4 linked regions of the Rhinolophus ferrumequinum genome follow. The protein of the gene in region 4 interacts with the protein of the main gene of each other region in a biochemical or structural test. Links are inferred from orthologs where the notes say so. Each region holds a gene or a part of one and is shown on either strand. Other genes may lie near its edges. The genes, in order: ADRB1, DMD, SLC6A3 and SNTA1.

Evidence for each region.
Region 1: the proteins of SNTA1 (region 4) and ADRB1 interact in a test that uses a peptide from one of them, tested with the Homo sapiens proteins (2 studies listed by BioGRID and IntAct). The link is inferred for Rhinolophus ferrumequinum from reciprocal best matches to the Homo sapiens genes SNTA1 and ADRB1.
Region 2: the proteins of SNTA1 (region 4) and DMD form a complex in vitro, tested with the Homo sapiens proteins (2 studies listed by BioGRID, with this or other methods). The link is inferred for Rhinolophus ferrumequinum from reciprocal best matches to the Homo sapiens genes SNTA1 and DMD.
Region 3: the proteins of SNTA1 (region 4) and SLC6A3 interact in a test that uses a peptide from one of them, tested with the Homo sapiens proteins (2 studies listed by BioGRID and IntAct). The link is inferred for Rhinolophus ferrumequinum from reciprocal best matches to the Homo sapiens genes SNTA1 and SLC6A3.

Annotation. Positions count from the first base shown.
Region 1 is NC_046299.1:13,973,284-13,981,123, forward strand, and holds the start of ADRB1 (beta-1 adrenergic receptor), read right to left. Parts: upstream 3,008-7,840; 5' UTR 2,707-3,007; coding exon 1,309-2,706; 3' UTR 1-1,308. UniProt on the Homo sapiens protein: Beta-adrenergic receptors mediate the catecholamine-induced activation of adenylate cyclase through the action of G proteins. This receptor binds epinephrine and norepinephrine with approximately equal affinity.
Region 2 is NC_046284.1:99,556,653-99,564,335, reverse strand, and holds the start of DMD (dystrophin), read right to left. Parts: upstream 3,018-7,683; 5' UTR 2,816-3,017; coding exon 2,785-2,815; intron 1-2,784. UniProt on the Homo sapiens protein: Anchors the extracellular matrix to the cytoskeleton via F-actin. Ligand for dystroglycan.
Region 3 is NC_046290.1:831,309-838,678, reverse strand, and holds the start of SLC6A3 (sodium-dependent dopamine transporter), read left to right. Parts: upstream 1-4,368; 5' UTR 4,369-4,456; intron 4,457-4,486; exon of another isoform or gene 4,487-4,890; intron 4,891-5,027; exon of another isoform or gene 5,028-6,312; 5' UTR 6,313-6,364; coding exon 6,365-6,650; intron 6,651-7,370. UniProt on the Homo sapiens protein: Mediates sodium- and chloride-dependent transport of dopamine. Also mediates sodium- and chloride-dependent transport of norepinephrine (also known as noradrenaline). Regulator of light-dependent retinal hyaloid vessel regression, downstream of OPN5 signaling.
Region 4 is NC_046306.1:21,487,588-21,494,700, reverse strand, and holds the start of SNTA1 (alpha-1-syntrophin), read right to left. Parts: upstream 3,010-7,113; 5' UTR 2,870-3,009; coding exon 2,560-2,869; intron 1-2,559. UniProt on the Homo sapiens protein: Adapter protein that binds to and probably organizes the subcellular localization of a variety of membrane proteins. May link various receptors to the actin cytoskeleton and the extracellular matrix via the dystrophin glycoprotein complex.

The sequences.
Region 1 (7,840 bases), on a different chromosome or scaffold from region 4:
CGTGGACCAGTTCCTCACACAGTAGTTAGTTGCACCAGAGTATAAATACTTGGTAAAACACACAGAGGAAAATAGAATTTACACACAGGTGCTAAATTTTACCAGCAGATTCACGTGGGCACTTGGACATAAAAAAATAATTAAAAAATCCTTAAGATAATTATATTTATAATATGGATACAATTACAGTACCATGATAAAAGAGTATAAAAAGGTATTTTTCCAATAAGTCATTAGCTAAATAACATAATAGACAACAGAAGTAGAGTTTCAATTTTATTTTAGTTTTTACGATCTCCCCCGCCCACGTTTAAAAATATTTAATTTCTTCTTGTGCAAGTAACATCTTCTGTGGACTTTACAATTCCTAACACTGTGCAAAAATGGCATTTTTAACCACTCCTTTTTTTGTTTTGTTTTGTGTTTTGTTTTTACCCACGTTTAGTAATCTGAACTGTTTCCTCTTTTGTTTTCTTTTTCTGTTCTGTCTTCAATGGACAGTCACATGTCACAGAGGCTCAGTGCCTGGTCCTTCCAACTCATATTGATACATAAATAGCTGTTTAATATAAACAAGTCTTTCTATTTTGCTGTGCAATGTGCACAGTGTGAGGTAGAAACCCCTCAGCCTGACGACCGAGGCGCACGGGGACAGCAGGCTTATCCTACAAAAGGAAAGCAAGGTGAGGCTTGTTCCAAGAATAGCTTACAATTTCTTCTAACGTGGATTTCGCACACACCCTTTCCCTTTGCTTTAGGAACAGGAGAAATCATAACTCAGGAGTTAAAATGAAATTTCTCTGGAAAGCAAAAGGAAACATGTCCCGACAAATTGTCATTCCCCCTCTCGCTCCGGTTGACCGCTCCTGTTCCCGGGAAGTCAAGTCGATAGACTTTTACCCCGTCATGCTTCTCCCTTGCCCTACCCAGTCCTCGTAGAACGTGTCAAAAACACCTGGGGAAAAACAAAAACAAAAACAAAAACAAAAACAAAACAAAACCTAAAGATGCATCATACGCACACACAAAAGAAGATCGAACCTCAAACAGGAAAAAGAACACAAGAAAAATCAGCAAGCCACTCTCTCACCCCTCCCCAAACTTTCCTTTCTGTGCAACGATCCGTGGCTTTTCTGTTTGTCTTGGATGATTCAGATGAGGTTTGTGGGCTCCGAGTTCACCTGCTTTCGATCTTGAGTAAACACATATCTCTTTCCCCTGGGAAGCCATTCAGGGACGCCTAGGCTTTCTTCCTCTAGGCGCGCAGAGCCCGCGTCCCGGCTGGGAGGTGTGGAGGGGTGCCCGGTCCTACACCTTGGATTCCGAGGCGCAGCCGGGGCGGCTCGGTTCGTCCAGGCTCGAGTCGCTGTCCGCCGCCGCCCCGCCGTTGCAGCCGGCCCAGGGCTCCAGCAGACGCGCGGGCGGCGTGGCCCCGACGTCGTCTTCGTCGTCGTCGTCCGAGGCGGCCCCGGGCGACAGCGGCGGCCCGGCCACCGCCAGGCAGCCGGAGGCGCGCGGCCGGTCGCCGGTGGCCGCGTGGCTCCCGCGGGCGGCCCGGCGCCCACAGCAGAGCAGGCGCTGGAAGGCCTTGCGGAAGTCGGGGCTGCGGCAGTAAATGATGGGGTTGAAGGCCGAGTTGGCATAGCCCAGCCAGTTGAAGAAGACGAAGAGGTGGTCGGGCACCAGGTCGCGGTGGAAGGCTTTCACCACGTTGGCCAGGAAGAAGGGCAGCCAGCAGAGCGTGAACACGCCCATGATGATGCCCAGGGTCTTGAGCGCCTTCTGCTCTCGCAGGGCCACGAGGCGCGAGGGTCGCCGCTTGCTGGTGCGCCCGTTGGCCAGCGGGGTGGCGGCGGGGCACGGGGGCCCCGGCGAGGGCGCGGGCGAGGCCGGCCGTGCCGGGCCGCTGAGGAAGCGGCGCTCGCAGCTGTCGATCTTCTTCACCTGCTTCTGGGCCTCTCGGAACACCCGCAGGTACACGAAAGCCATGATGCACAGGGGCACGTAGAAGGAGACGACAGACGAGGCGATGGCGTAGGCCCGGTTAGTGACGAAATCGCAGCACTTGGGGTCGTTGTAGCAGCGACGGGCCTCCTCGCCCTCAGCCCGCCACCAGTGCATGAGGATGGGCAGGAAGGACACCAGGGCCGAGATGGCCCACACGGTGCACACGAGGGCCCGCGCCCGCGTGCGGGTCAACAAGCTCTGGTAGCGGAAGGGCGAAGTGATGGCGAGGTAGCGGTCCAGGGCAATGACACACAGGGTCTCGATGCTGGCCGTCACACACAGCACGTCCACCGAGGTCCAGAGCTCGCAGAAGAAGGAGCCGTACTCCCAGCGGCCCCACACCACGATGGTGGCCCCGAACGGCACAACCAGCAGCCCCATGACCAGGTCGGCGCTGGCCAGGGACATGATGAAGAGGTTGGTGAGCGTCTGCAGCCGCGGAGTCTTGGCGATGGCCACGATCACCAGCACGTTGCCCGCCACAATGAGCAGAACGATGAGCGCCATCAGCAGGCCCATGCCGGCGGTCCACTGCTGCGACAGCTGCACAGGTCCCTCGCTGGCCGGGGTCAGCAGCGACGCGGGCGGCGACGCGGGCACCAGTAGTCTCGCTGCGGTGGCCGCGCCGTCGGGGAGCGGCGCGGCGGATGACAGGTTGCAGGGCTCGGAGGCGCCCAGGACGAGCGCCCCCGCGCCCATGCCGAGCTGCGGAGGCCGGGGGCGGGGTGTGTGGCGGGGTTGGGCCGTCTTTGGGGAACACCCCAGAGGTTGGGGCGTCCGGGCGCGCGGAGGAAGGTCGCGGCCAGGTCAGGGCAGCCGCTGCGCAGAGCCGGAGGCATGGGCGCCGGGCGCCTTCCCTGCGGGAGCCAAGCTCTGTCGCCGCCGCCGCCGCCGCCGCTGCTGCTGGAGCCGCTGCCGCTGCTGGAACAGCCGCCGAGACCACAGCATGTTTCTGAGCGCGCTGAGCCCGCAGCTCAGGCACCCAGCATCCACCCCACCCCGCTCCTACTCCCGCAAGCCAACCCCTCGGACTTCGCGTCAGGCTCCTGCAGCCAATCCCGACAAAGGCACGCCCCTAGTTGGTTCCCCCCCACCCCCCCGCCCCAACGCCCCGCACCCCTTCCCACCCGCAGTTCAGCGGCTCTGGGGAGTCCGGGACGATTCGAGCAGTGAGCTCCTGCCCGGCGCCCGCCGGTGCCTGTGCGCGCGCCCCTTCCCGCTCCTGCTGGTTCCTGCGCCCTGTTCCCCCAAGCTCCGTGCTGCGGCCAGCTCCCACCCGCGTCCCTGCCCCTCTCCTAAGGCCCCCACTCTCTCCTGCGCTGCGCTCCCTTCTTCGCCCCTTCTGCCTCCTGCGTTCGGCTCCCTCCTGCGCCCCCGTCCCCTGGCATCCCCTCTACGTCCAGTGCCCAGTTTTCCTGCGGAGCGGAGCGAGTTCTCCCTTTTGCGGGGAGGGAAGCTCGGTGTTCTCCCAGCCCCAGGACACCTTTGACAGCCTGTCCGATGGGTTTGGAGGAGATTGTTTCTCGGATCGGGCAGCCTAGCAGAGTGTGTGTAAAACCCTTTCCTGGTCAAGGAGGGGACCCAGCCAGACTGCGTCCTGCCAGCTCAGGGGATCGGAAGCGGGTGTTAGTGGTTAGAGGAAACTTTGCAGCAGAGCGCCTTGCTAGAAGAGCAAACGACGCATCCCTCAGGAACGCTCTCTGGGCGCTATTCTTGCAAGGAGCTTCTGTTGTACCAGTGCAGTAGATGCAGAAAGGAAGCTAAGGTCTGTGCATCTGACAGCTAGTGCTGAGGACCAGTTGGACACTCCCCAGTCTCAACTAATGCATAATGTGAGTATAATGCAACAATGAGTGTGGATGCTATAAAGAGAGAGAGGCTTAAGGAAACACAAATGTTTAGACATAAGAGAAAATGACACTGCGGTGAAGAAAGAACACATTTAATTACATTTCAGACTTTTCCCATTCAGTAATAACACCTGCATTTTGTGTTTTATTACTGACATGATTTTATAATTCGAGCTGGGTCACTACAAACAGAAAAGTACTGTTAGTTATGGTTGATGTAATGAACTGAGATTTCAGATTTGTTGGTGGGCTTGGTTTTCTCCTTTGTCCAAGTTCCCAGAGTCTCAGAACTCTAGGATTAATTTTGGAGGGATGAGAGAAGAAAATATGTAAATACTCAAGAGGATTAAAATCAGATAGCAGTTAAAATTATATCAGTGGTTTCTGAGTTGGCAAATGAATCAGTTTGAAATTAGTGAGTTGTGTGCCTAGCTGTCTGTGGATTGTGTGTGGGGACAAACAGACAGGATAGCCACCAGGAGCACACAATGCAGCAGGACTGCAAGCCCCCTCTCAAATTAAGGTCCTCAGCTCAACCTTGAAAATAAAAAGCCTTTAATTGAATCCTTCAGAAGTAGACAGCTTCCAATTACCCATATACGGGTGCATGAAAATGTTATGTAATGCTCACGCATCTTTCTAGCTTTTGGACCAAACTCGTTCTTACCTTGCAGAGAGATTGACTTCCACACCAACCCATGTCTAGAGCTAAAAGCAATGCTTATTCAGTTTATAAAGTCAAGCAGTTTTAACCACCTTCTCTTATGTGAATCTCAACATATAAATTTGTTTTAGGCCCAGAGTTGTAATCAGAGTGTTGGGGGGATGGTGATTTATTTGCTCATTCATCCCTGCCCTAGGACTTGTCAGCCTATTTCTGCCAAACTGGAGAGGTTGAGGAAGGGGGAGCAAGGAAAGAAGAGGGTCTAGAAAGAGGGAGGAACAGGAACTATACCCTGAGTTAAGTATAATCTCTGGAGAGTCTTAGTTACCCAAGTTACTGCACTCCTGTCTCCCCCTCTGGCTTCTTTCTGTACCCCCTGAACCCCACACCCACCCGCAAGAGGTAGTCTCAAAATAGCCAAGGGATTGGAAAGAGTTGAATTTGACACTTCCCAGGAAAGGGGTTCTGAGTGCTGCTGGGCTCGGGGGTGAAGTGTAGGGAATGTGGAGAGGAGGCTTTCTATCAGAGCCATCTTTCTGTCAAGTGGTGTTATTGGAATAGTGTGCCAAGCTCAAGTGCCCCTGAAAGATGAAGGGATTGCATTCTGTCAGCAATAAGACCAGAACTTGGTTGTAGAGGTTCAGTGCAGAAGCCCAGATGCCAATACCTTTACTGTGTCTATAAATATGTACGTATTTGTATACATTATGTATCCATACATGTATTTGTATACATAGTATGTATAAACACACCATGTATGGAGAATTGTTGAAAAACTCTCCTGAAACTTACCCCCCTGCTCATTCAAGCTTGTCTGAATTTCTGGATAAAAAAATTCATTAAATCATAAATCTTCAAAACCAGAAAGTTATTTTAATAGGAGTTCCACTAGAGGGCTGCAGGGGATCCCAGGGACTTTCCTTCAGTGGTATTGATGGAAAAGTTTGGAATAGTCCAGGTTCAACTAGAGTTAGCTTTCTTTGAAAATGAAATGTTCTCAGATCTCCTTTAATTCCTACATTTTGTGGCACTCTTTTTCTTCTTCCTTCTTTCCTTCTCCTTGTCCTTCTCCTTGTCCTTCTCCTTCTCCTTCTCCTTCTCCTTCTTCTTCTTCTTTGGACATTTTTGAGCTAACACTTTTTGTACTTAGATAAGGATACAAGATCAAGAAGAAAAGGTCCGATATATCCATTTATACAGGTATTACATGTTGCAAGTTCAAAATGAATAATTTCTCCATTCCCACTCACAACTGTTCAAATGAATCACTTCTCAGGAACCCGTGGATTTGACAGGATTTTAGAAAATGACAGAAAGCTCCAACAATCAATGCTAACCAGCACACCTGAGAGCTAGTGGCCTTCTTCCTCAATATTCCCTGTCGCACCTCTACCTTTCCCATCCCACTACCATCATTTCACACCTGAACTTGCTATGCATTCTCTTTGATCTCTTTGATCTCTAATCCTCCCTGCTCCATTTAATTTGGAATGCCATACCAAATTAGTATTTCTAAAACACTTCTTTGACCAAGATGTTTTTCTGTTGAAAAACCTTAACTCCTCAGCTTGGCATTCAGAGATTTCCACCGTCCAGTTCCGAATAGCCTTATAGCCTTCCCAGTACTACCTTGGACTAGAACTCTCCATGTCACTCTAACCTGAACTTCTGAATTTTTTTTCTCTCTTTTAGATCTAATCTCTCTCTCTCTCTCTCTCTCTCTCTCTCTCTCTCTCTCTCTCTCTCTCTCGCATTTGTACTCTCCCTGGGTTGCTTCCATCAAGAATCCCTTCTTCCTCCATCTCTGTCTCAGTGGATTCAGTCTTCAAGATCTATCTTTTTTATTTTACAGTTATTTCTGCCCACCTGCTTCTGGAAGTGATTTCTCCTTCCTCTACCTACAGTGATTACTCTGATAATTGCATTTCATGTGTCAACAATATTTTGCCTTTTCACATCTGTCATATTTTTATTTAATTTTTATAGGTTTCTCTCCCTTTTTCTTATATGGATTGTAAGATCACTGAGAGCCAGGATTATCCTGTACATTTTTATATCTCCCATGATGTAACATTTGCTTAATATTAATTAACATGGAGCTTTGATTCATAAATATGTAATGTCTAATTTATTGAAATATTCTTATATTTACTAATGTGAGAAATTATTGAGTGGTTTTAGAGTTATAATCTTACATCATGCTTAGAATTTACAGTAATAATTTATGTCCCTATAGCCTAGTCACTATTTTCACATAAGCATTTAAAAATACTTTACAATTACAAGGTAGGCTCATGAGATAAATTTATACCTACTTGGTAATGAATAAAATGGGACATAAGAGGTTTTCCAAAGGGGCCATGCAGGTCCACAGCCATAAAAAGCACTACTTAATCTTCATAAATATTCAAGGTAAATGACCTTTTTTTTAAGCTTTATGATACTATATATGCAGGCATTTTGCCCTTGGAGAATAGCTCATGACTTGAACCTGGTTTCAAGTTTTAGATTAAATCAAAGATCCACACAGCAGTAGTTAATAGGTATCCAACCCACCTATGGTTGTAAGCCATGAGCTTGGTGAAGACATTTCCCCTCGTGAGTTGACTTACCTTGAAAATGAGGTAAAAGTAAAAGGGATAATCTAACTAGACAACTGCTGGAAGGTGGGCCAGTGGAAATGGGGAAATTTTCAAATAAAGCCCCAATAAATGTATCAAATCAATAAATGTTAAGTAAGCAAGATTGCCTCAAGGCTGATAATCAGTGGTGGGATTTGTTAATCAGAGCTCAAATGGCTACTTCTGAGTAAAGATAGACAACTTTTCATATCAAGCAATACAACTGCTGAAACAGTCACCCAGAACTAAGTAACAAAAGAACAGCCTGTACCCGTGGCTGGTACTTAAGGTCATATAATGGTTTTGCAGTCACAGTTTACACAGGGAGAAGCAACTCCATCCATTATGATAAGAACAAGCACAGAGGACAGTGGTATAATCATAGACAAGTGTGGACTATTTGGAAACTTCCTCCATCTTTGCCTCCTCCTCCTGTTCCTGGTATGTCTAACAAGTACATTGAACAGTGCTAGAGCCAATAATAATATTTTTCAAAATGTGGATGTGTTGGAAAGTGTTCAGACCTGGGAGGCAGAAGATCAAGGTTTGTGTCCTGGCCTTGTCACTTTTCCCTGTGACCTTCAGCAGTGGCTTCCTCTGTAGAATGCACTCGCCACTCGCTCCCTCCCAGGGTTGTGCTCAAATTAAATGAGGTAATGTATGTGAAAGCTTCTTGAAATCTCATATAGAACCATATA
Region 2 (7,683 bases), on a different chromosome or scaffold from region 4:
CCACAACACATTTCTTCATACAGAGGTGACTTCCCATGAAACTTTGAACACTTAAGCCTTGAGGCTCTACACTTATGTTTCATTGGACAGAGGACGTACATTAGTCTTATTTGTAAATTTCTTATAAATGACGTGCGTTTAAAATAGAAAATAAGTCAATGAACAAAACATGACATTTAAAGAAAAGTTAATTTCCAATTAATTTTCAATGTTTCTCTTAAGTGATTAACTCTGTGATTACAGGTGTACGTATGTTTCTTTAAACATTTATACTCACACCAAAACACCATGTTTCTTGCATTTGCAATAGAAGAATAGTTTAATGAAAAATATAATAAATCATTTTTAATAAGTTAGGGAACTAGTACAGGAGAAAGTGGAAGGGGAAGGAAGGTTTGGGAAATCACTGCTTTATCCTTGTGATAAAGCCATGATGAAAGATAATAAAACAGAATTTAAAAAAAAAACCCACCTTGTATTTCTAAGACAACGAAGATTTTAATCTCTTTTATTAAACCACACAAGTGGTTAAGAAACTTGACAATTTGTTTCATATGTAGCAAATGACTTGGACTACAAGGATTTCAAATGAATACTTCAGGACTCAAGAGGAAGCTATACTAATATCTCTGTCCAAATTAAGAACAAATATTTCAGTTCTGCCTAGCTGGAGTAGTGTCAACCAACAACTTTTTTCTTAAATAACATACACTTACACAAAACACTTTGTAGTCTATTTTGTAAGTTTTAGAGTAACTCTACATGATGTTCTCCACTGTATATTCCATAATATTATGCCATGTAAGAGACACAGAAAACTTCTTATTAAAATAAAAGCTATACTCTCTATTTCAGCAAGCTCTTTTTCATAGTTAAGATGTCCTTAAAAGACTCTGCAGATGAAATTCTAAAAGACGATTTTATTAGACCTAAAGATAATTTGCATTATTTAAAAAATTTGAATGAAATGTATATTTGCAATAAATTATTTGAATAATTCTTTGCAAGGCAATACTTGAGTATTTCTAACCGTGAACAATTCTTGTCTAATACAATGATCCTCTCTATTAATTGGTAACTATTTTGGTTAAAAACCAACCAAATGTACTCTCAATGTTTTCAAACTAAGGCAATTTTAAAAACTAGACACAAATGTCAATACACTCAAATAGTAGCATGTTGTCAATTAGTAAAAGTTAATGTATAATATAACCTTGTGAATATCTTCATTTTCTTTTCACAAACCCATTGTCATGTAGCATAAACATTACCTGATAGTTTTAAAATGTACTATCATAAAGTTGTACAGGGCTTGTCCTAAAAAGGTTAGCTATCTTCAAATTCTAGTTAAGAGTTTAAAAAGTTATTTGAATATCTATGACAAAACAGACAGTAAGTTTGCCTTGCTTCATTCCAGAATTGAATCTTTGCTATTCTTTCTCAGTTTTTCTATACACTGGTTTATGGTTTTAATTTTGTAAATATACTGATTGCTTGATCAGTCAATTATGTATGTGTGTTGCAAAGAATATAGGCTACTGGATTTTTGTAATATTAGTAAATGGAATAGTTTTTCAATTAGAAATCAATTTTGATGCTCTCCAAGAAATTTATAAAATAAGGGTATTATATAGAAATGTTTCACTACATATAAACTCTGGAAAGACCTAATGTGAGCCAGCAATTGTACAATGTAAACTTTTTTCCACAAATTTTTCTCAGAGGCAAAACTTCTGTTATGACTCTTTTTCTAGAAGTTTTGAAGACTTACTTATTTGGAGAGATTTACGTTTTTCATTCTTACTTATAAGCATTGCCCTCATAGCTATTTCAGAATGACTATAACCCAGAAGTCAAAGGCAGGAAAAAAAGATTGTCTACTTCATCCACCTCTTTGGGACACACTGTGCTCCTCATATATTATTTTTATTGTTGTGTCACAGTCAATTTTGAAATTTTTCATTAGTCATCATAACTTTCTTAAAATAAACAAAATAGTTGTGCTTTACATAAAATTCAAATTAAAAAGCTTTACTGAAAAGCTAGGTCATCACAGACATGAAACAACACAGTGACTTTACTGTGAAATATAATTAGAAGTCTCTCATGTTTTTATGGTGTTTTCTCAAGAAAAGTGTCTGATCATTTGATGGCATAGATTATATCATTATTACAGAAAAGAACATTCAAAACACTAAATGTAATATGAGAAAGGAACTTTTAAATTAAATATTTATCAATACTTTTCTCAACCTCCATTTATCCATCACCATTCATTTTATTTTTTAAATTTCTCCCCATGATACGCCAGATACAATTTTTCTAATCTTGAGATCTCCACAAATCATGCCCACACAGCAACTAGTTCATTGAGAATATTTGCCAGGTCACTACCCCAACATATAACCGTTACTAAATACAGAAGTATCAAATAATCAAGATAATAACTCAGATTCACAAACGATTTCACAGCAGTTAAAATGGTTTGTTGCAAATACTCCAGGCCAGTGATGCATGTTCTATTACTTTAGTGGTTTCTTAAATAAGAAAGATGTGTTTGATTATATTTGTAAGAACAAAAGTTTAAACTCTACCTCATTTCTACTGAAAAGTTTTCACAATGAGAAACATGTACACCTGCACAAATATACGTACGCAGAATATGTAACATTTATGGTTATTCACAAAATATTATAATAATTTAAAATCAATCTGTCTAATCAGTGAGCTTGTCACAAACTAAAAGTTATGCCACTGTAAAAAATATTTTTACTTTGTACTTACAACAGTCCTCTACTTCTTCCCACCAAAGCATTTGGAAAATAAAATGTGTATCAAGGCAGCGATAAAAATCTTGGTAAAATTTCTCCCAACTTTATTGCTCCAGTAGGTTTAGGAATGATGAGAAACCAAACAACTCCAGCAGCCTTTAAAAAATAACACTTTGGTTTTTCCTAGTCCGTTTTTCTCTGAAGCTAATTGCCTCCAAGATCTGAGTCCTGAAAGGGGAAAGTGAGTGATCCTAACACTGAGTGAGTCAACACAGTAACTGATGCCAGGATTCTGTAGAGGCCCCTGGATATTTCAAATTCCAGGACCTGCGCAGAAGCAAGTGACCCGCCTCTTCTCTCAAGTTGGTTTCCCATAATAGGACTGCCCATGGTCACTACATATAAGGTTGTGCTTCCAGCATGGCAAGTCCTGTGAATTCAAATAATGTTCAACTGTGTTCTGATTAATATCCAAACCAGAATAGCACAGTGGACACAGTACTTGCTCTCAAAGCCTTCTTAACATAGAACCTCTTTAGTGCAAAACTGTAACAATACTTTCTGTAACTTCTATGCACATTTCTAAAATAACAGAGCAAAAACTCCTGATGCAGAATAGACTTCTAAATGCTTTTCCTTATTTTACCTTCTTAACAACACTAAAATTTTCACTCCACTAAACAAAAGGAAATGCCCAGAATAATCTATGCACGCCTTATGTATCCACTGTTTACCAAACTTAATTTCTACTCTGGGGATCCAATCAAAAGTCATGTATTGATGATGTCAACAGTCTGAGTAAGAGAAACAACAGAAGAATTGAACAGCTGAGCTCTGAAGGCAGAATGTGTATAGGTCTCACGGGATGAGGTTCCTGCTAAAATAAAGAACACTCTAATAATGGAACAAAGAAATCTTACTCAAACATGAAATTCCCATTGTAGCTTTTGATAAAACATTTTTAACTAACGAATTACTGTTTCTTCAACTTCTTTGGTGACAATTATTACAACAACATTCTCTTAGACACTGAGTTAATGACAAATTTTTTAATTGCTCGCAATAGATGCTTTTTTCTGTATTAAATGAACACAATTGTAATGTATCATTCAACATGTTTGTAAATAATTATTTGCCACTAGAAGGCTTCTTTATCTTCTTTCTTATTTTTATAATTTATTTATACTAAATTTATTTGGGTGACATTGGTTAATAAAATTATCATATTTTTATTTTTAATGCAACAGGTAAGCCCAATATTTATAGGAAACATTGGTAGCATGTTTTAGAAAGATATTCCTTTTGCAATTAAAATAATCTCTGTTAAAATTATTTGTCTGAGTATTTTTATAGTACCATTTGTTAAAGTGACAGTCTCATTTTTTTATGTCAACCATTCAATTGCTTGGGACATAAATAAATTATAGACAAACATACAGAAAAACTGACATATTGAGTCAAGCTATGATATTAACCTTAATAGTGAATTATACATTTTATATTTTAGAATATCATTATCATAATACTACCATTCCTCCCTAACAAAATCTATATGAAAGAAAATATAAGGCCTAATGTTATGTAACTGTATTTTAAGTGCTATTATTAAAAGGATTTAAAATGTTCTTCTCCATAGCTTTCCTCCTTTCCTCTCCTTAGCGTGGTTGTCTAAATATGCATATAAGCAACAATTTCATAAAAACATAAAAAAATGTTTTAGGACTGACATGGATCCAAGTCTGCATGTTAGCATCAATGCCCTATGCGATGGGTATCATATCACTCAGAGTACGAGTTCCTTTACACCTTGTACTGTGAGTTTCCTACAGATATAAACTCATGTTTAGGCTAAGGCATATGTATAGTTTTATCAGTGATTTGTACAGTGTGATCCACAAAGCATCACATAGGAACTTTTTAGTAATGCAAGTACACAAGACCTGGAAAATAAGAAATTGCGAATAGGACCTGGTACACTCTGTGTTTTACTGGTGATCCTAATGCATGGCCAATTTTGAAAAACCCTGTCGTTTTTCAAACCAACAGTGGCTCCAAATATACCAAACACCTGTCTTGGTTAATTATATAAAGTACCAAAGAAGATCCAAGATGGTGGAGTAGATAAATGTTGTGCTTGCCTCATCCCATGAACACATCAAAATTACAACTGAATTATAGAAAAAATAGCCTGGACAACCATCTAAAGTCTAGCTGAACAGAAGTTTTATAACCAAGGGTATAAAGAAGAAGCCACATCAACATTGGTCGGAGGGGTGAAGTCTCAAAAGGGGCTGGTCCCACACCCATGTGTGGTAGCTGAAAATTGAGAGAGATATCTTGGCCAAAGAGGTTCCCCATGAAGGAGTAAGGAACCCCAGCCCCACACACCAGGCTCCCTAGCCGGAAAACTGGTGCCAACAAGAGGAGCCCCCACAACTTCTGGCTATGAAAAACAGTGGGGATTCCAACTGTCAGGATAGGACGGAAGGCTGTGGAAAACCCAGCTGTCCTTTTAACAGCCCACACAGACACTCACCCTGGGCTCTGGTGGAGGGATGGTAACCATGGGGGCGTTGGAGACATGGGTAGAGACTAAGTTGTATAACTTCGGGGCAAGGACTGAGGAACAGTCCCCATTTTCCCTGTGTGGGGCCCTTCTCCAATGCAGCCAGCAGAAGGGCACCATTTTTCCTGTGCTGAGTCCACCTCCACAGGCCTAATCTGAATCTGATTGGCCTAGTGAGCTCTGCTGCTCCACCCTGTTGATTCATTGAGACCTGGCCTCACCTGACTTGTATACTGCAGGAGGCTTTATCAGCAGCTAAAGCTTATGGGAGTTGGCAGGTGGCAGCAGGCCTCTGAATTTCCTGGCTTTTTGTAGAGCTACTGCAGACCCTGCACTGGTGGCAGCCATCCTCAGTTTGCAGCATGGCCTCTCCAACGCACCTCCCGGTACAACACAGGTAGTGACCAATCATGGATCACTTTGTAGCTCCTACCAGGTAGTTCCCAGCCAGTCACAGACAGTGGCTTCCCTGGGCCTGCACCAGAGCCCCTCCCAAGAGGCTTCAGAACCAACATACTTGGAAGTTGGCTTCAGACCACAGCAGAGTACCACCCAATTAGCCCCACAAGTGGCACACCCAAAGGGCGGTCTCAACAGGCACCAAAACCTGCTGGGGCAAATCCCTCTCCATATGGTAGGTTCCACCACACAGCAGCCCATAAGCTGTGGATGTGGCCAAACCTCCCAGCCAGTCAGCCTGAGGGTCAATACCCACCAAGATATGCCAACAGCAATCAAGGCTCAATTATAACAGGAGGGCACACGCAACCCACACAGGGACACTGCTGGAGCACCTGGAGCAGGTGACCGGGGAGACTGTGCCACGAGGCCCCAAGGACCCCTATTACATAAGGTCACCCAGCCAAGACTGGGAGACATAGCAGCACTACCTAATACATAGAAAGAAAAACAGAAAGGCAGTGAAAATGAGGAATCAAAGAAATATGTCCCAAATGTAAGAACAGGAGAAAACTCCAGAAAAAGAACAAAATGAAATGGCTGCAAGCAACCTACCGGATAGAGTTCAAAACACTGGTAATAAGAATGCTCAAGAAATTTAGTGAGAATTTCAACAAAGAGATAGCAAGCCTAAAAAGGACATATAAACCATAAAAAGGAACCAGTCACAAGTGAAGAACACAATAACTGTAAAGAAGAATGCACTAGAAGAAATCACTAGCAGAATAGATGAAGCAGAGGATCAAATCAGCAATTTGGAAGAAATGGCTGCAGAAAACACCCAATCAGAACAGCAAAAGAAAAATAAGAATAAAAGAAAATGAGGACAGTTTAAGACACCTCTGGGACAACATCAAGTGTAACAACATTCGCATCATAGAGGTACCACAAGAAGAGAGAAAGCAAGGGATTTAGAACCCATTTGAAGAAATAACTGAAAACTTTCCTAATTTGGTGAAGGAAATAGACATACAAGCCCAGAAAGTGCAGAGAGTCCCAAACAAGATGAACCCAAACAGGCCCACACCAAGACACATTATAATTAAAATGGCAAAGTTTAAAGACAAAGAGAAATTTAAAAGCAGCAGGGGAAAGGCAACTATTAGGTTGGTGCAAAAGTAATTGTGGTTTAAAAGGTTAGCAATAATTGTAAAAACCGCAATCACTTTTGCACCAACCTAAGAGTAACTTATAAAGGAGCTCCCATAAGACTGTCAGCTGATTTGTCAACGGAAACTTTGCAGGCCAGAAGGGACTGGCAGGAAATATTCAAAATGATGAAAAGGAAGGATCTACAACCACGAAGACTACCAACCAAGGTCATTATTTAAAATCAAAGAATAAAGAGCTTCCCAGACAAGAAAAGGCAAAAAGAGTTCATCATCACCAAACCAGTATTACAAGGAATGTTAGAGGAACTCCTTTAAGATGGGAAAAAAAGATCAAAATTATGAATAATAAAATAGCAATAGCTACATATCTATCAACAATTACTTTCAATGTAAATGGATTAAATGCTCCAATCAAATGGCACAGGAGAACTGAATGGATAAAAAAACCCCAAACCCTTACATATGCTGCTTACAAAAGAATCACTTCATATTGTAAGACACACACACAAATGGAAAATAAAGAGATGAAAGGAGATGTTTCATGAAAATGGAAACAAACAAAAAAAGCTGGCGAAGCCATGCTTACATCAGACAAAATAGACTTTCAAACAAAGGTTATACCAAGAGACAAAGAAGGACCCAGAAAACCCACTTCAGGGTATTTATCTGAAGAAAGCCAAAGGCTATTTGGAGGAGACATATGTATCCATATGTTCATTGCAGCATTGCGTACAATGGCCAAGATGTCGAAGCAGCCTGGGTGTCTGTTGATAGA
Region 3 (7,370 bases), on a different chromosome or scaffold from region 4:
AGCCACTGGGCCTTCTCCCCTCAGACTCAGCAGGTGCTGCCGTGGCAGCCCTGACCTGAGCCCTGGCGGCCAGGGCATTTGGGAGACACAGTTCCCGGGGTCCAGCTGAGTGCCATGGAGAGTGTTGTAGAGCTCAGCCATCCACTGGGATGGCCATAGTAACATAAGACGCACGGGGACGTAGCAGGGTCACCGAGGGCAGGACCCCACTGAGCCTGCGGCTTGACGATAGCACCTGACTTCTCACTCAGGGAGCAGCACCAGCGTGTTCCTGGTCTGCTGGTGTTTTTTCTTTAGAGAGGTACACCCAGTCAGAGCTGCACCAGCTCACTCCCTCCCTCCAAGGGGCTGCCAACCTGCAGGCTGGGCTTCCCATTTCAGGAATCACATGCTGCCCATAAGGTTCACTGCCTGAGGTAGATGGTCTTTTCAGTCCTTTACACACAGTGTGAGGGTGGTCAGCAGCAAAGTGAGAGGACAGAGGCTAGAACAACTGGCAAAGGTTGTGTGACGCATGAACTTGCTGCCCCAGCACGTGGGAGCCCTGTCATTCCTGCAGGAGATAACTGAAGCCACAGGAGATGACATAGGGTCAAGAGGCGCGAGGGTGGCCTCAGCTCAGTGCCCAGCGAGGGTACAAATGCTATGGCTCCGATGGTCCCCTTACGTCTAAAGCAAAGGGAGCTTCCTCAGCAGCTGACTTAACAAAGGGCGGCCAGCTGAGCCCCACTGGCCACGAGCAGTGCCTTAGATGGTCCACACCGCAGCATCCTCTGTCCTTCCCTGCACCCTGCTGCCCCCGCAGGTCTCTGCGATACAGACGGACCAACAGCCTGAGCAGCGTGTCCGGTGGCACGGCTTTAAGGCCCTGCCATGTTCTGAGCAGCGCTCTTGGGAGCAGGCCTGTTAAGGTCCCTCTTTGTCATAGGGTGAATTGTGCCCCCAAATCCACGTGTTGAAGTTCTAAGTCCTGGGACCCCAGAAGGAGATCAGGTCTTTACAGAGGTGATCAAGTTAAAATGAGAGCATAGGGTTGGCCCTGGTCCACTAGGACCGGGACGTTTGGACATGCACACATGTGCAGAACACCTTGTGAGCGTGAAGGCAGAGATGGTGATTCTTCTACAAGCCCAGCAGCACCACAAACAGCCAGCCCACGGCAGAAGCTGAGAGAGGCCGGAGCACGTGCTCCCTCACAGCCGAAGAAGCAAACCTGCCCACACCTTGAACTTGGACTGCTGGCTCCAAACCCAGAGAGGATAGTTCTGTGTTTAAGCCCAGCCTGGGCACTTGGTCATGGCGGGCCAAGCAAACCAGTCATCTTAAAACCTAGCCTCTCAGAGCCCCTCCCATGTGCTGTGCCACTGCAGCTGGTCCACAGGGAATGGTGAGCCATGCACAGCCCCAACAGTTGGCAGGACGTGCCGTGCTCTGCCTGCCTTTCGCCCCTGCTTGGATTCTGAACTTAGGGCACAGTTCCAAGCAGGCAAAGGGCGGACTTTAATCAGGGTTAATCAGCTCTTAACTGCACCACTTCCACCTGCACAGGTCCAGAGGGCAGCGGCCCTGTCTAGGAAAATGGAGAGCACAAGAGCATGGTTCTGGCTTCTGTCCTGTGGGCCAGCATGCTGCCACTGCCGCCACCACCACCGTGTCCCCAGTTGTTCTTCACTAAGAGCTCCCAACGGTTGTTGCCAGCTATCCTCTCATGTGGTTACATGTGAGGGCATGGCCGGGGTGGAGGGCTCCTGGGTGCTGGGCTGTTCTCTTGGTTGGCCTACGTGTAGGTGAGAGAGGGTGGTCACCCCATTGTACCTCTTGCAGCCACGCACTGGGGAGCCATGCACTTAGTCTGTGTTACCCACACAGAGGACGCTGTCTGCCCCCACCACCACCCCGCCACAGCCCCGTGTGCTATTGTCACCGCTGCTCCTTTCCTTGCACTTTGTTGGCTGGTGTCACAGTTATCCCCTATAAGGCTCGCATTTCTTCCCAATGTTTCTTATTCAGGTGTGTGTGTGTGTGTGTGTGTGTGTGTGTGTGTGTGTGTGTTTAATATATATCTGAACTCACGGGTTCTACCATGTGCTCCCATTTAAAAGAAAATCATTTTCTTGGTGTCCATTTGTGTCCTTGAGCCTATTTTTGTTTTTTGTTTTTGTGGGTTTTTTTTTTTTATTTTGGGGGAATATTGGGGAACAGTGTGTTTCTCCAGGGCCCATCAGCTCCAAGTCATTGTCCTTCAATCAAGTTGTGGAGGGCGCAGCTCAGCTCCAAGTCCAGTCGCCGTTTTCAATCTTTAGTTGCAGAGGGTGCAGCCCACCATCTCACATGGGAATTGAACCGGCGACCGTGTTGTTCTGAGCTTGCGCTCTAACCAACTGAGCCATCCGGCCACCCCTCTGGAAGCTCAGTGACAGCTTGTTGTCTTCAATCTAGTTGTGGAGGGTGCAGCTCACTGGCCCATGTGGGAATTGAACCGGCAACCCTGTTGTTCTGAGCTCGTGCTCTAACCACGGAGCCATCTGGCCGCCCCTCGAGCCTGTTGATTACCACTGTACTCTTCCTGTTTCTTGAAACCTACGCTGTTGGGTATATGTGGGGAGAGACAGCCCTGTGTGAGGGTCACTCCTGAAATCCTGTCCCGTCCCCGAGTGCTGTGGCCTGCATTGTGTCCCTCCAAACTCACATGTTGAATCCGAACCCCCAATGCAATGGTGGTAGAAGGCAGGGCCTTTGGGAGGTGGTTGGGTCATGAAGGTGGCACCCTGGGGATGGAACTAGTTCCCTTATACAAGAGGCCCCACAGAGCCCTGCACTCTGCCACGTGAGGACACGGCAGAGAGAAGACATTGGTGAACCGGAAGCCTCCAGACAGAGATTCTGCCCCTGCCTTGATCTTCCACTTCCAGCCCCCAGAACCGTGACAAAGAAATGTCCGTTGTTATAAAAGCTGCCCTGTCTGTGGCCTTTTCATTACAGCAGCTGGAAAGGACTGATACACCAGGCACAGGTTCTTTCTGCTTGATGCCAATGAGCCTGGCAGACAGTTCCTTTGTGCTCTGGCTGGGTACCAGCCCTGTCCTGGGCACCGGCTCCCCATCAGGAGGCTATGGGGAAGGCAGTGACTCTGGTCTCCAGGTGGAGGCAGGAGCTAGTGGGGGAAATGGTACTAAGGAGGTGACAGGGTGTGACAAAGGGACACTGCTTCCATGACCCTGCTGAGCAGCTACATCCAGACAGGGTGGAGAGCCTGGAGACTCGTGTGGATGCCCCACGGCAGTGAGTGTACAATGGCAAATCAAAGGACACATGCCAGGTAATGGGGGGGGGGGGCACCCAGCCTGGCGATGCCAGAAGAGACCACTCACCTTGATGCCTGAGGTCCTGGGTCTCACTTGATGGCCTGGAGATCCACTCCTCCACGTGGTGCTCTACTCCACGTGCCCACTCAGAGGATTCTGAGTGGGTTTGGTCCTGGAGCAGGTACCCACCACCAAGCCGTTGGGGAAAATCATTTTCTGATGCCAGCGTGATTCCAGCCACCTGATGCCAATTGCTGCGCCAGATGTGGGCAAAGCATGGCGACGTTGCCTGGACACTGCCAGCCACAAAACGACCCGCCCGTGTCTCCACAGCCAGACCCCGGCGACGTCAATACTTCGGGGCCGGGCAGGAGTTGCCGCGGCGGGGCTGAGGACTCAGACAGGACACCACTCGCGCGACCTGGGATCCGCTCCCCGCCGGCCGCCCCAGCTCCGCGCGTGAATCGTTGGGGGAGAGGTCCCCAGGACGCCGGACCTGGGCGGCCGCTGGGGAGTCGGTGGGGCCGGGCGGCTGGGGAGAAGGGTCGGTGTAGCATCAGGGTGGGGGTCGCGCAGCAGCGAGGGGCGGGCACAGGCGTGGCTCGGCTCCGCCAGGCGACTTTTCAGCTGTGGCCGGCTCCCTCCCGAGGGCCGTCTCCTCCTCCCCCGCCGCGCTGAGACGGAGTTCTGGGTGGGTCGTGGGAGCCCCCGAAGCAGACGTAGATGCGCGGGGCAGGGCTGGGGGTGCGGGCGAGGATGGGAGGGAGCCCTAGACTGGGCCCGCTGGGAAACAGCCCGTCTCGGTCCTGCCACATCTGGCACCCAAAGGCGGCCCCGCACCCGTCTGTCGGAGGTTTCCGGACACGCAGGACCTGTGGCAGAGCGCTCCGAAGGCCGCCGGCTCCCGCCGGCTATCCAGATCCCAGGGGCGGGTGCAGGGCGCGGCCGGGGCTCGTCCCCCGCCCACCTGGGGCGGTGCGGAGGCGGAGCCAGGCGGGCGGGCGCCCCCGACGGCGGGCGGGGCGGGGCGGGCCTCGGAGACACGATAAGAGCCGGAGGTCGAGACCGCCCAGCGCACAGCGGCAGGAGCCTGAGCTTTCGCGGGTGCTGAGCTGAGGGACACCAGCTCAGAGGCAACTCGGGGCGCACAGGTAAGGCCGGGGCACTCCGTGGGTGACTCCTCGCATAGACGCCCCCCGCGTTATCCTCCGGGCTCACGGTTCACTCTGTGGACCCCGAAAGCTGCAGCCGAGGGTCGCCAGGTTGGGCGGAGCACCGTCGGCAGGCGCCGCGTCCCGCAGACGGCAGCGTTTCCACAAGTCGCTAACAGCCGGGGGTGCGTGCACAGCGCGCCCCGGCGGACAGTGCTGGAGACCGTAAGGTGGTCAGCCGCCGAGAGATATGTGCACGAGAGGGGGTGCGGGGCTGATGCGCGCTGGGTTCCTGGCGACGTCTGTGTCATAGTGTCTTCCAAACCACTATATCTGGAAGGGGCGGCCGTCCCCGGCTTCCCGCGGCGCGGGCACCCGGGGGTGCGCAGCTGTTTGTGGCGGAATCTTCCGTGTTGGACCAGTCGCCGCGCAAGGTGAGGCGGGCCTGGGCACAGCAGTCCCCAGATCCGATCCGGGGGATTTTCTCAATCAACGCTCCATCTCGCAGCGTTTTGTCTTTGATTTTGAAGGTGGAGCTGGGGGCGCTGAGTTGCGGGTTCTGTGCTTCCAGGCTGATTGCAGGAACGGCCAAGGGGAGGACAGCGTCTGAGCCAGCTGCGTTTCTCTTTGGGGGTGCTGTGACGAAAGACGCTTTCTAAGAGGCCACAGTTTGTTTTCTGTACCCAAACCTGGCCTCTGAGGCCGCAGCTCCAGGAGTGACCTGGCTCACCCCAAATGCTGGGCGTGGGCGTCCCTGGCAGGCGAGGATCCGATCAGCCTGCGTGGGCCTTATCAGAGCAAAGGCCGGAATCCGCCGTGCCTGCAGCCCCAGCCGCTCCAGCTGCACCCCCGCAGGCCAGTCCCACCTGCTCTGCATCCCGTGCAGCCCCCTGGGGGAGGTCTTCATACACAGCAGGAATGTGCTGTTGGGTTTGTAACAGAGGTAAAGGGGCCACAGAGAAGGTGCATAAAATAACTCACATTGTGAGTTTTTGTTCAAACTTGGATACAGTGGAGAATTCCCTTTACAGCTGCCACCCCATTATGCTTCTGCTTCAGCCACTGCATATGAGTGCGTGCGTATGCTAGCATGTGTGTGTTCTAGCATGTATGCACCCACACGTGTGTGAACAGGTGAAACCATGCTGGTGGATCCAAAGGCCATAACAAGTCGCATTTGAAGCTGCTCATGGCCACCAGGGCCCAGCTTTCTGTTGGCTGTGACCGGAACAGCTTCTGTGGTCCCTGGTGGCACTGCCCAGGATTATGGAAGTGACTTGGAAGTGAGCTCCCTGATAACACTGCCGAGTCCAGGAGCTCGTGGCCCCTCCCCTAAATCCGCATGATGCTCTCGCCCCTGCCCCCCTCCTCCAGGTGGGGCTGGTGAGCTCTGGCCCCTGGTGGGCGTGCATCTGCAGGCACTCTTCCAAGAAACTGTTGTAATCGTTATCTTTAAACGTTCCTTCCTGTGGCTGATGTTGGTTTAAAGACTAGCTGAGCGCTCTTGTACAGGCTTGGTGTCTAATGTGGGTTGGAGACTGAGATTACTCCCTGCTTCATTATTGTTAAAAGCAGAATTCCAGACCACAGGAGCCCTGCACTTTGATAGGAATGGAGAAAGGAGTGGGGGACGGGGGCAAAGCAGATGTCCATGCTGAGGTTTCCACAGCTTGTCTCCTCAGGACCTCAGGAGAGCTAGCTCATCTCCTGTCGCCCCCAGCCCTACCCTGTCATCATAGCTTCTCGGAATGTGTTTGCTCTGCCCCACAGAAGAGATTGTAAGTGCTGGGACCTGTGCTCTTGCTACCAGCATTCTGGCTACAAACTCGTGCATTCCTCTGTGTTTATCTTTCAAGCTGGCTGGAGACCAAGAAGGAAGAAGCACAGAACCCTAGACTGCAGTGTGCCATGAGTAGGAGCCGGTGCCCAGTAGCGCTGATGTCTTCCACGGTGGCCCCAGCTAAGGAGCCCAACGCTACGTGCCCAAGGGCGGTGGAGGTTGTGCTGGTCAAGGAGCAGAATGGGATGCAGCTCACAAACTCCACCCTCACCAGCACCCCACAGAGCCCCGTGGAGACCCAGGACCGGGAGACGTGGAGCAAGAAGATAGACTTCCTCCTCTCGGTGATCGGCTTCGCAGTGGACCTGGCCAATGTCTGGCGGTTTCCTTACCTGTGCTACAAAAATGGTGGGGGTGAGTCTCCACCTGCTGTCCTGGGCGTTCCTGTGGGCTAGAACCCCAGGCAGTGGAGACAGTGCCCTTGAGGAATGCGTGCACTCTGGCAAGATCACCCTGTTTTCTCACTTAACATTAGCAGGGCACAGACCACAGATGGTGTCACAAAACCATAGAGGTGGAGTTCAGAGCAACCACTATGTCTGGACTTCACGGCTGAGGATGGTGAGGCCAGGAGAGCAGAAAGCAGGAGTTAGCGGTCAGAGGCTCCATGGCTCGGCCTTCTGTTTCCAAAGGGGATTTCACTTTGGAAAGGAAATTCTCAAAGGCCCACAGAAGGGTGCTTACAAAGTGGGCGGAGTCGCTTGAGCTTGAGTAGCAGAAGATGCCCTGGAAATGTACCCGTCCCCCCTTGAACTCAACCACAACTGTCTCTGGACTCAAGGCAGAAAACTAAGATACAGGGGCAGGGTCACCTCAAAACTCAAGTTGAGAAGCCAGTTAGTTGGAGATCATGCCCACCCCCCTGCTGCCGCCCCCGCCTGCTGCCTCCCTGCTTCACCGGTCACAGCACAGATGGAGGGCCTTGGATGACGATCTTGGGGGGAGGCGGGGGTTCCTGACACTCCCAGGAGGAGGCTGGCATTACTGTGCCCAGCTCAAGGGGAGCAGACTGATGCCTCAGCAGGTACAGTGAGTGGCCCAAGGACAGGCAGAGCTGTGGGATCTCCCTGCCCC
Region 4 (7,113 bases):
GCTTTTTCTTAAATATTTTGGACTTGAAGCAATTTTGCCATAGTGGGGATACCTCCCTAATCCGGCATTACAATAAAAGTCAGCTCTTGATATGGCTCCAAGGGATCTCATTAGCAATCAGAAAATTTTATAATCCAGGATCCAGGCTGGAAACCAAGCCTTAAAAGTCTAGAGATTTCAAAAGCCTGCCTGAATTTCATCTCTGATGCATAAAAATCTAATACATTTTACCCAATTGCTTTATTGCTAAACTCTTGAATAACCTTTTAAAATAAGAAATAGTAATAACAGTTCACATTAGTTCCATGTACCAAGTGCCAAGCAATGTGTTAAATGTTGTCAGTGGTGTCTCATCGCATCTTCACAACACCCCAATCACACAGGCAGGCTCAGTTTCCCATCAGGAAAATTGAAGTATGGATAGAAGCCCCTTGTCCAAGGTCATCCAGCTATTTAAGTGGCAAAGCCAGTATGTATGTGAACTGAGGTTTCCTGGCTTCAGAACCAGTACTCTTCACCCTATGGAAGACGGCAAGTTGGACCCTCAGATATCACACTACTTGTCCATTCCCAAAATATTAAAGATGAAGTACTACTGGCCCAGAAAAAGTAGATCATTATTTCAAGGTCACATAACAAATTGGTGGCAGAGGTAGGACTGGAAAGAAACCTCTTGTGACCCCCACACAGGACCAACAATTTGCTTCTTGCACTGCAGAGCTTACGGACTAGGAAAGGAAGGGATTTCTATTTATATCTGCCTTGTTCTGCCTGAAACTGGGGACTTTAGTGCATTCCTAGCTGCCTGGACTGGGCTGGACCCTAGAGGGGGAGGTCATCATGGTAACAAGAGCCTGGTTTCCATACATGAAGAATTGAATGGAGCTGGTACCTCCCTTGACGCCTCCTAAAAGTACCTTCACCCCCACCTGGAAGTATGGAGCTAGGGTATAACTTTATATGACCTTGGAAAGTCTCTGCTCCTCTCCAAGTCTCAGTTTGTCCATCTGCAAAATGGAGCTCTGTATGAACTCTAAGTTCCTTCCTGCTTTGACACATTGAGTGTACAATTTCCAGATTTGATCTGTTGCCCTATCCTACGCTGGAGTTTTGGGGCAAGACTGGTGCCCACTCCCTGGCTTACCCATTTCCCTCTTTTAGATCCCTTTCGTTGGCTGCATGGAGATTTGCCCTTCCACGGGGAAGAATTGACTTCCCTAGGCACTCTCCAGTGGCCTGATAATTGAGGTTCAAATCCCAGCTCTGCCATTCACTAACTGTGTGATCCTTGGAAAATCATTTTTTTTCTGAGTCTCAGTACGTTCAGCTGTAAAACAAGGTTTATGTTCCCTACCTTTTACCACTTGTTGCCAGGATAAAGTGAATCGTGAGCCCAGAGTACTGAGCATAACACATGGCACACAGTGGTAGCCAAGTCATCACTATCCCCACCCCCTCGCCCAAGTCAAAGGGTCTGGAGGTACCAAAAACAGAACCAGCACCAGGAAGAGAGAACAGTGCATATCCAGGAAGATACAAGGGCTGACACCCCCTCCCAAGGCAGATAGCACTCGGCTGGGGGCTGAGACACTGAGAGAAGTAAATGGGTAGGAATGGTGAACTCAACAGCCGTTGGGGGGAATGGGGGCAGAGATTTTAAGCAATATGGTTAGTTGCTTTCCTGGCCTCCATTTTCCCTCTCATCTAACAGCAATAATTAACTAGGCACTTACTATGTGATGGCAGGGTGAGTACTTTAGACTCCTGTTCTCATAAAAACATCACAACTCTATCATTAGCTTCACAATATAGTAGTTAAGAAATCTGAGGTCCAGTGATGGGAAATGACTTGTCTACATTCACACAGTTGATCCTGGACTCAAGCACAGTCTGGTTGCACCCTAAAAAAAGCTGTCAATATTGGGGGCTGAGAGCTCTCAAAAAGGAGTAACAACTCTATGTCCACCCCTCTCAATCCTGGGCAAGGTGGTCAGTAAACTGAAACGCGGCTCTGCCTAAGTACACAGCTTTCCTGAGTCCTCAGATTTCTAGATCCTTTCTGGACCCCTGTACATGAGCACAGCAGACGCCTCATCTCCAATCCCTCCCTGCGCTTTGAACTCCAGGCCCTATCCCCTACCTTGGTCGTCTCAGAGACTTCCCCCTCCTTGCCCTAGTGGCGCCCCAGGCCTCAATCGCCTTTCGCCACCCTTTGCTTTCCTGGGGTTCCCCTTTTCCTTGATGCCCACGCAGCCCCTCTCAGATCTCTATGCCTCTACACAGAACTCCCTACCCACGTGTCCTTGGTGCGCCCCTCAAACCCTTCCACACCTGTGCCTTTCGACGGAGACCTCCGACTCTCGAACCCATCTCCGACCTTGGTGCTCCGGGTGCCCTCGGTTCCCTCTGTCCCCTTAAACCACCTTTCCCCCAGACAGAAGTCCTCCAATTCTGTGTCCTTGGTATGCTGCCAGACGCCGCGAGCCCTGGTCCCTCGGAGGCCCACAGACACCAAGACACCAAGACCCTATGCCCTCAGTGCCTCCTCGCTCACCTCACCTTTGATACTGATGCCCAGCCCGCCGGCGTCGGCCTTGCGCACAGTCACACGGCGCCGCTGGAGCAGCAGCGTCTCCGGCAGCTGCGGGGGCGCGGTGCCTGATTCCGCGGAGCCGTTGAGCTGCGCGGGCTCCGGGTCCCGCTGGGCGCCGGGCTCCGGGCCGGCATCGCCGTCGGCGGGGCTCACGGTCAGCGCGTCCTCCGCCAGACTGAGCAGCACCCTCTGCCACCGCTCGCCGCCGGCCCCGGAGTTCGCCGCGGTGCGCAGTTCCAGCAGCCCGGTGCGCGGGGCGCGCCTGCCTGACGCCATCTTCGCCTTGGAGCCCCCGGGCCGCCGCGTTCGCCCTGCTCCGCAGTGTCTGGCCCGCTTCGAGCCAGCACCCAGGGCAGAGGGCGCAGGGGGCCCGGCTGGGACAGCCGCCACCCTACCCCGGGCGACTGGGGGGGTGGAGCCTCGAGGGGCGGGGCTATCTAGGAGGTGTGGCCGAAGGCAAGATAGCGGGACTCTGGGGCGGAGTCCAGGAGCCGAAAGATGTGTAGTGCGGGACTACTTTGCGGGTGGGACCATACCGGCGTCCGGGCCAGGCCGCTAAGTAAGGATAGGGATCAGTGAGGTGCGGGAGCTGGCGGGGAGAGGAGGGGCGAGGGCAGAGGCCTTAGTGCCTGGGGCAGAGCCCTAGCATCCAATCGTGGAGACTGCTGAGCAAGGCCGTCGAGGGCCTGGACCGTAACTCACGCTTTTAGGAGCATAAGAAAAAGAGACATGGATCTTGGTGCAAGGCTTTGAACCTCGGGGCGGGGCTACGTATAGAGGACCACTGGACTCCAAGGACAGGCCTTGAGTTTAAGTCAATAACCAGAGATGAATCCAAGTGTCCAACAAGAGGGAAATGGTTCTATACTACTAAAATCCCCCTGAGGCCACCTACATAACATATATGTATTATATGTGCACATGCACATATAATACATAGATGCCTTTTATTCAGTCTGCTGTATGTTGACACATGAACTGGCTGGTTTACATACATTGTCATTTAAATCTCACATAAATCCTGCATAGCCTGTATATTGTCCCCATTTTATAGATGAGGAAATTGAGGCACACCACTAGTAAGAAGAGACCTCTAGTTTAACCTTGGTTTGTCTGGCTTCCAAGCCCATATCCCTCCTGCTTCTCCTTTCTGCAGGCCACATAGCAGCAAAAGCTGAGTTTACAATCCATTCATTCATTCAACAATATTTATTGAACAACTTCTATGTGCCAGACACAGTGCTGGATGTAGGGATTCAGTTGTAAACAAGATAGTTAGTATCTTGCCTCATAGAACATACAGTCCACTGAGAGGCAGGATCCCTTGGTGGTTAAGAGCATGGGCTTTGGTTTCTGATTTTCTGTATTCAAATTCTCACTGTGCCACTTTCTATCTATGTGGTTCTGGGTGACTTATTTAACCCCTAACGTTCCATTTCATAATCTATAAAATGAGAATACTATATTAAAATTACTATCCCCAAGATTATTATGAGAAATAAATAATACTGGCTAACTGCTTAGCCTAATTCCTGCACATAGTAAGCATTAAAAAAATATGAGTTGTGAGAGACAACAAAGATGGTGCAATATAAACGCTGTGCTTACCTTCTCTCACAACCACATCAAAATTACAACTAATCTACAAAACTACCATTATTGAGAATCACCTAAAATCAAGCTGAACTGAAGGCTTTCAACTAAAGATGTGCAGAAGAAGCCACCTCCAGATGGGTAGGAAGGGCAGAGATGTGGAATGGGCTGGTCCCACATCCGTGTGTGACCATTAAAGATCAGGGGGGTTATTTCAGCTGTGGGGGTCCCCCCAGCCCCCAGAGGAGCAAGAGGTCCCAGCCCCACCCCAGCCCAGGGTTCCAGTGCTGGGGAGAGAAGTCCCCATAATTTTTGGTTGTGAAAACCAGCGGAGATTGTGACTGAGTGAGATGGAGAGCGGCTGCACTCTCAGGTGCTCCTCTTAAACGGACCATGTACAGACTTACCCACTAATGAATCACTCCTTCTGAGCTCCAGTGCTAGGGCAGCAGCTGGAGAGGTCTCAGGGACATTTGGTGGGGAACTGAGTTGTCTGGCTTGGGAGAGGGGCTAGAGAGGCAGTTTTCTCCTGCACGGGGGAACTGGTGGAGACCGTTGTGTCTTTGCTGAGCCCTCCCCCTTCCCCGAGTGCAGATGCAGGCGGCCACCATATCTGAGTCTGCTGTTGTTTGCCACTCACGGGCAATTCGAGACCCAACCCTGCCCAACTTTTGGGCACACCCAGGCTGCTTCCAGTGGCTTTTTTGTGTAGACCACCTGTCTTGGCTCAAGCTGCAGACTTTCCTAGGGTCTCTCAAAGGACCATGGAACCCAGACAAGAAGCATCTGGCTTGAGCGTATCCTGTACCTCTGGCTGAGCAGCCCTAAGTGCGGCACTAGCGGCAGCTGGCCTTGGATTGTGGCTTGGCTTCTCAAGGCGCTTCCAAGCACAGCATGGGTAGCAGCCATCTGTGGATTTCTTTGTGGCTCCTGCCAGGTGGCCCTGGGTGGGGCACAGGCTTTGGCTGAACTTGACCTACAGCAGATCCCCTCCAAAATGGCCCTGGGTCTGGTGCCCCCAGTGGGCAGCTTCAAAACAAGCTGGGGCATTACCCATCCGCCTCTGAGTATGACACACCCAAGTGCCGGATTTGGTAGGCACCAGAGTCCTGCTGAGGCAGATCCTGCTCCATAGGATCAGCCCCTACACAACAACTCTTCCACTGTAGTCAAGGCCAGTCCTCACAACCAGTGAGCCCAAGGGTCAGTCCCTCCCATTGATACACAATTATCAACCAAGACTCAACTACAAGAGGAGGGCACACACAACCCACACAAGGGACACACCTGGAGTGCACGGCTCAGGTGACCAGAAAGACTGCGCCACTGAACCCCACAGCACACCTACTACATAAGGCCACTCTACTAAGACTGGAAGACATAGCAGCCCTACCTAATACTTAGAAATAAACACAGGGAGGCAGCCAAAATGGGGAGGGAAAAAAAAAAAACATGTCCCAAATAAAAGAACAGAACAAAGCTCCAGGAAAAGAACTAAGTGAAACAGAGATAAGCAATCTATCAGATGCAGAATTCCAAACACTGGTTATAAGAATGCTCAATGATCTCAGGAAGAACTTCAACAGAAAAATAGGAAGCATAAAAATACAGATGGAAACCATGAAAAAGAACCAGTCAGAAATAAAGGATGCAATAATGGTAATGAAGAGTATATTACGGGGAACCAACAGTAGCTTAGATGAAGCAGAGGATCCAACCAGTCATGTAGAAGATGAGATAGTAGAGAACACCCAACCAAAACAGCAAAAAGAAAAAAGAATCCAAAAAATTGAGGAGAGTTTAAGGGGACTCCGGGACAGTATCAAGCATACCAACATTCATATTATAGGGGTACCAGAAGGAGAAGACAGAGAGCAAGGAATTGAAAACCTATTTGAAAAAATAATGACAGAAAACTTCCCTAACCTGGTGAAGGAAATAGACGTATGAGCCCAGACAGCACAGAGAGTCCCAAAGATAAACCCAAAGAGGCCAACACCAAGACACATCATAATTAAAATGCCAAAAGATAAAGACAAAGAGAGAATCTTAAAAGCAGCAAGAAAAAAGCAGTTAGTTACATACAAGGGAGCCCCCATAAGACTGGCAGCTGATTTCTCAACAGAAACTTTGCAGGCAAAAAGGGAATGGCAGGAAATATTCCAAGTGATGAAAAGCAAGGACCTACAACCAAAATTACTCTACCCAGCAAAGTTATCATTTAGAATTGAAGGACAAATAAGGAGCTTCCCAGACAAGAAAAAGCTGAAGGAGCTCATCACCACCAAACCAGTATTACAAGGAATCTTAGAGGGACTTCTTTAAGATGGGAGTGGGGGTTAAGGACGGGTGAAAGGGGAAGGGATTAAGAAGTACAAATTGGTTGTTACACAGTAGTCATGGGGATGTAGGGTATAGCATAAAGAATATAGTCAATAATATTGTAATAACAGGTATGGTGCCAGATAGGTACTAGATCTATGAGGGTGATAGAAGGGAATAGGGTTGGGGGCAGGGTGAAAAAGGTGAAGGTATTAAGAAATACAAATTTGTAGTTAATACAGTATGGGGAATATAATCAACAATGTTGTAAAAATCATGTAAGATGTCAGATGGGCATTGGACTTATCAGGGGATCATTTCATAGACTGTGTCCAATGTGCTGTACACCTGAAGCTGAAGTAGAATAATATTGAATGTCAACTATAACTAAATATATAGGTATATATATATATAGTCACGGGATGTAGAATACAACATAGGGAAGATAGTCAATGGTATTGAACAGCTATATAAGATGTCAGAGGGGTCGTACCTTGGGGGAGGGACATCACTTTATGAGAGGTTTAAATGTCTAACTATTATGTTGCTTTGTACACCTGAAACTAATTTAAAAAATCAAAAGAAAAAAATGTGAGTTGTGCTTT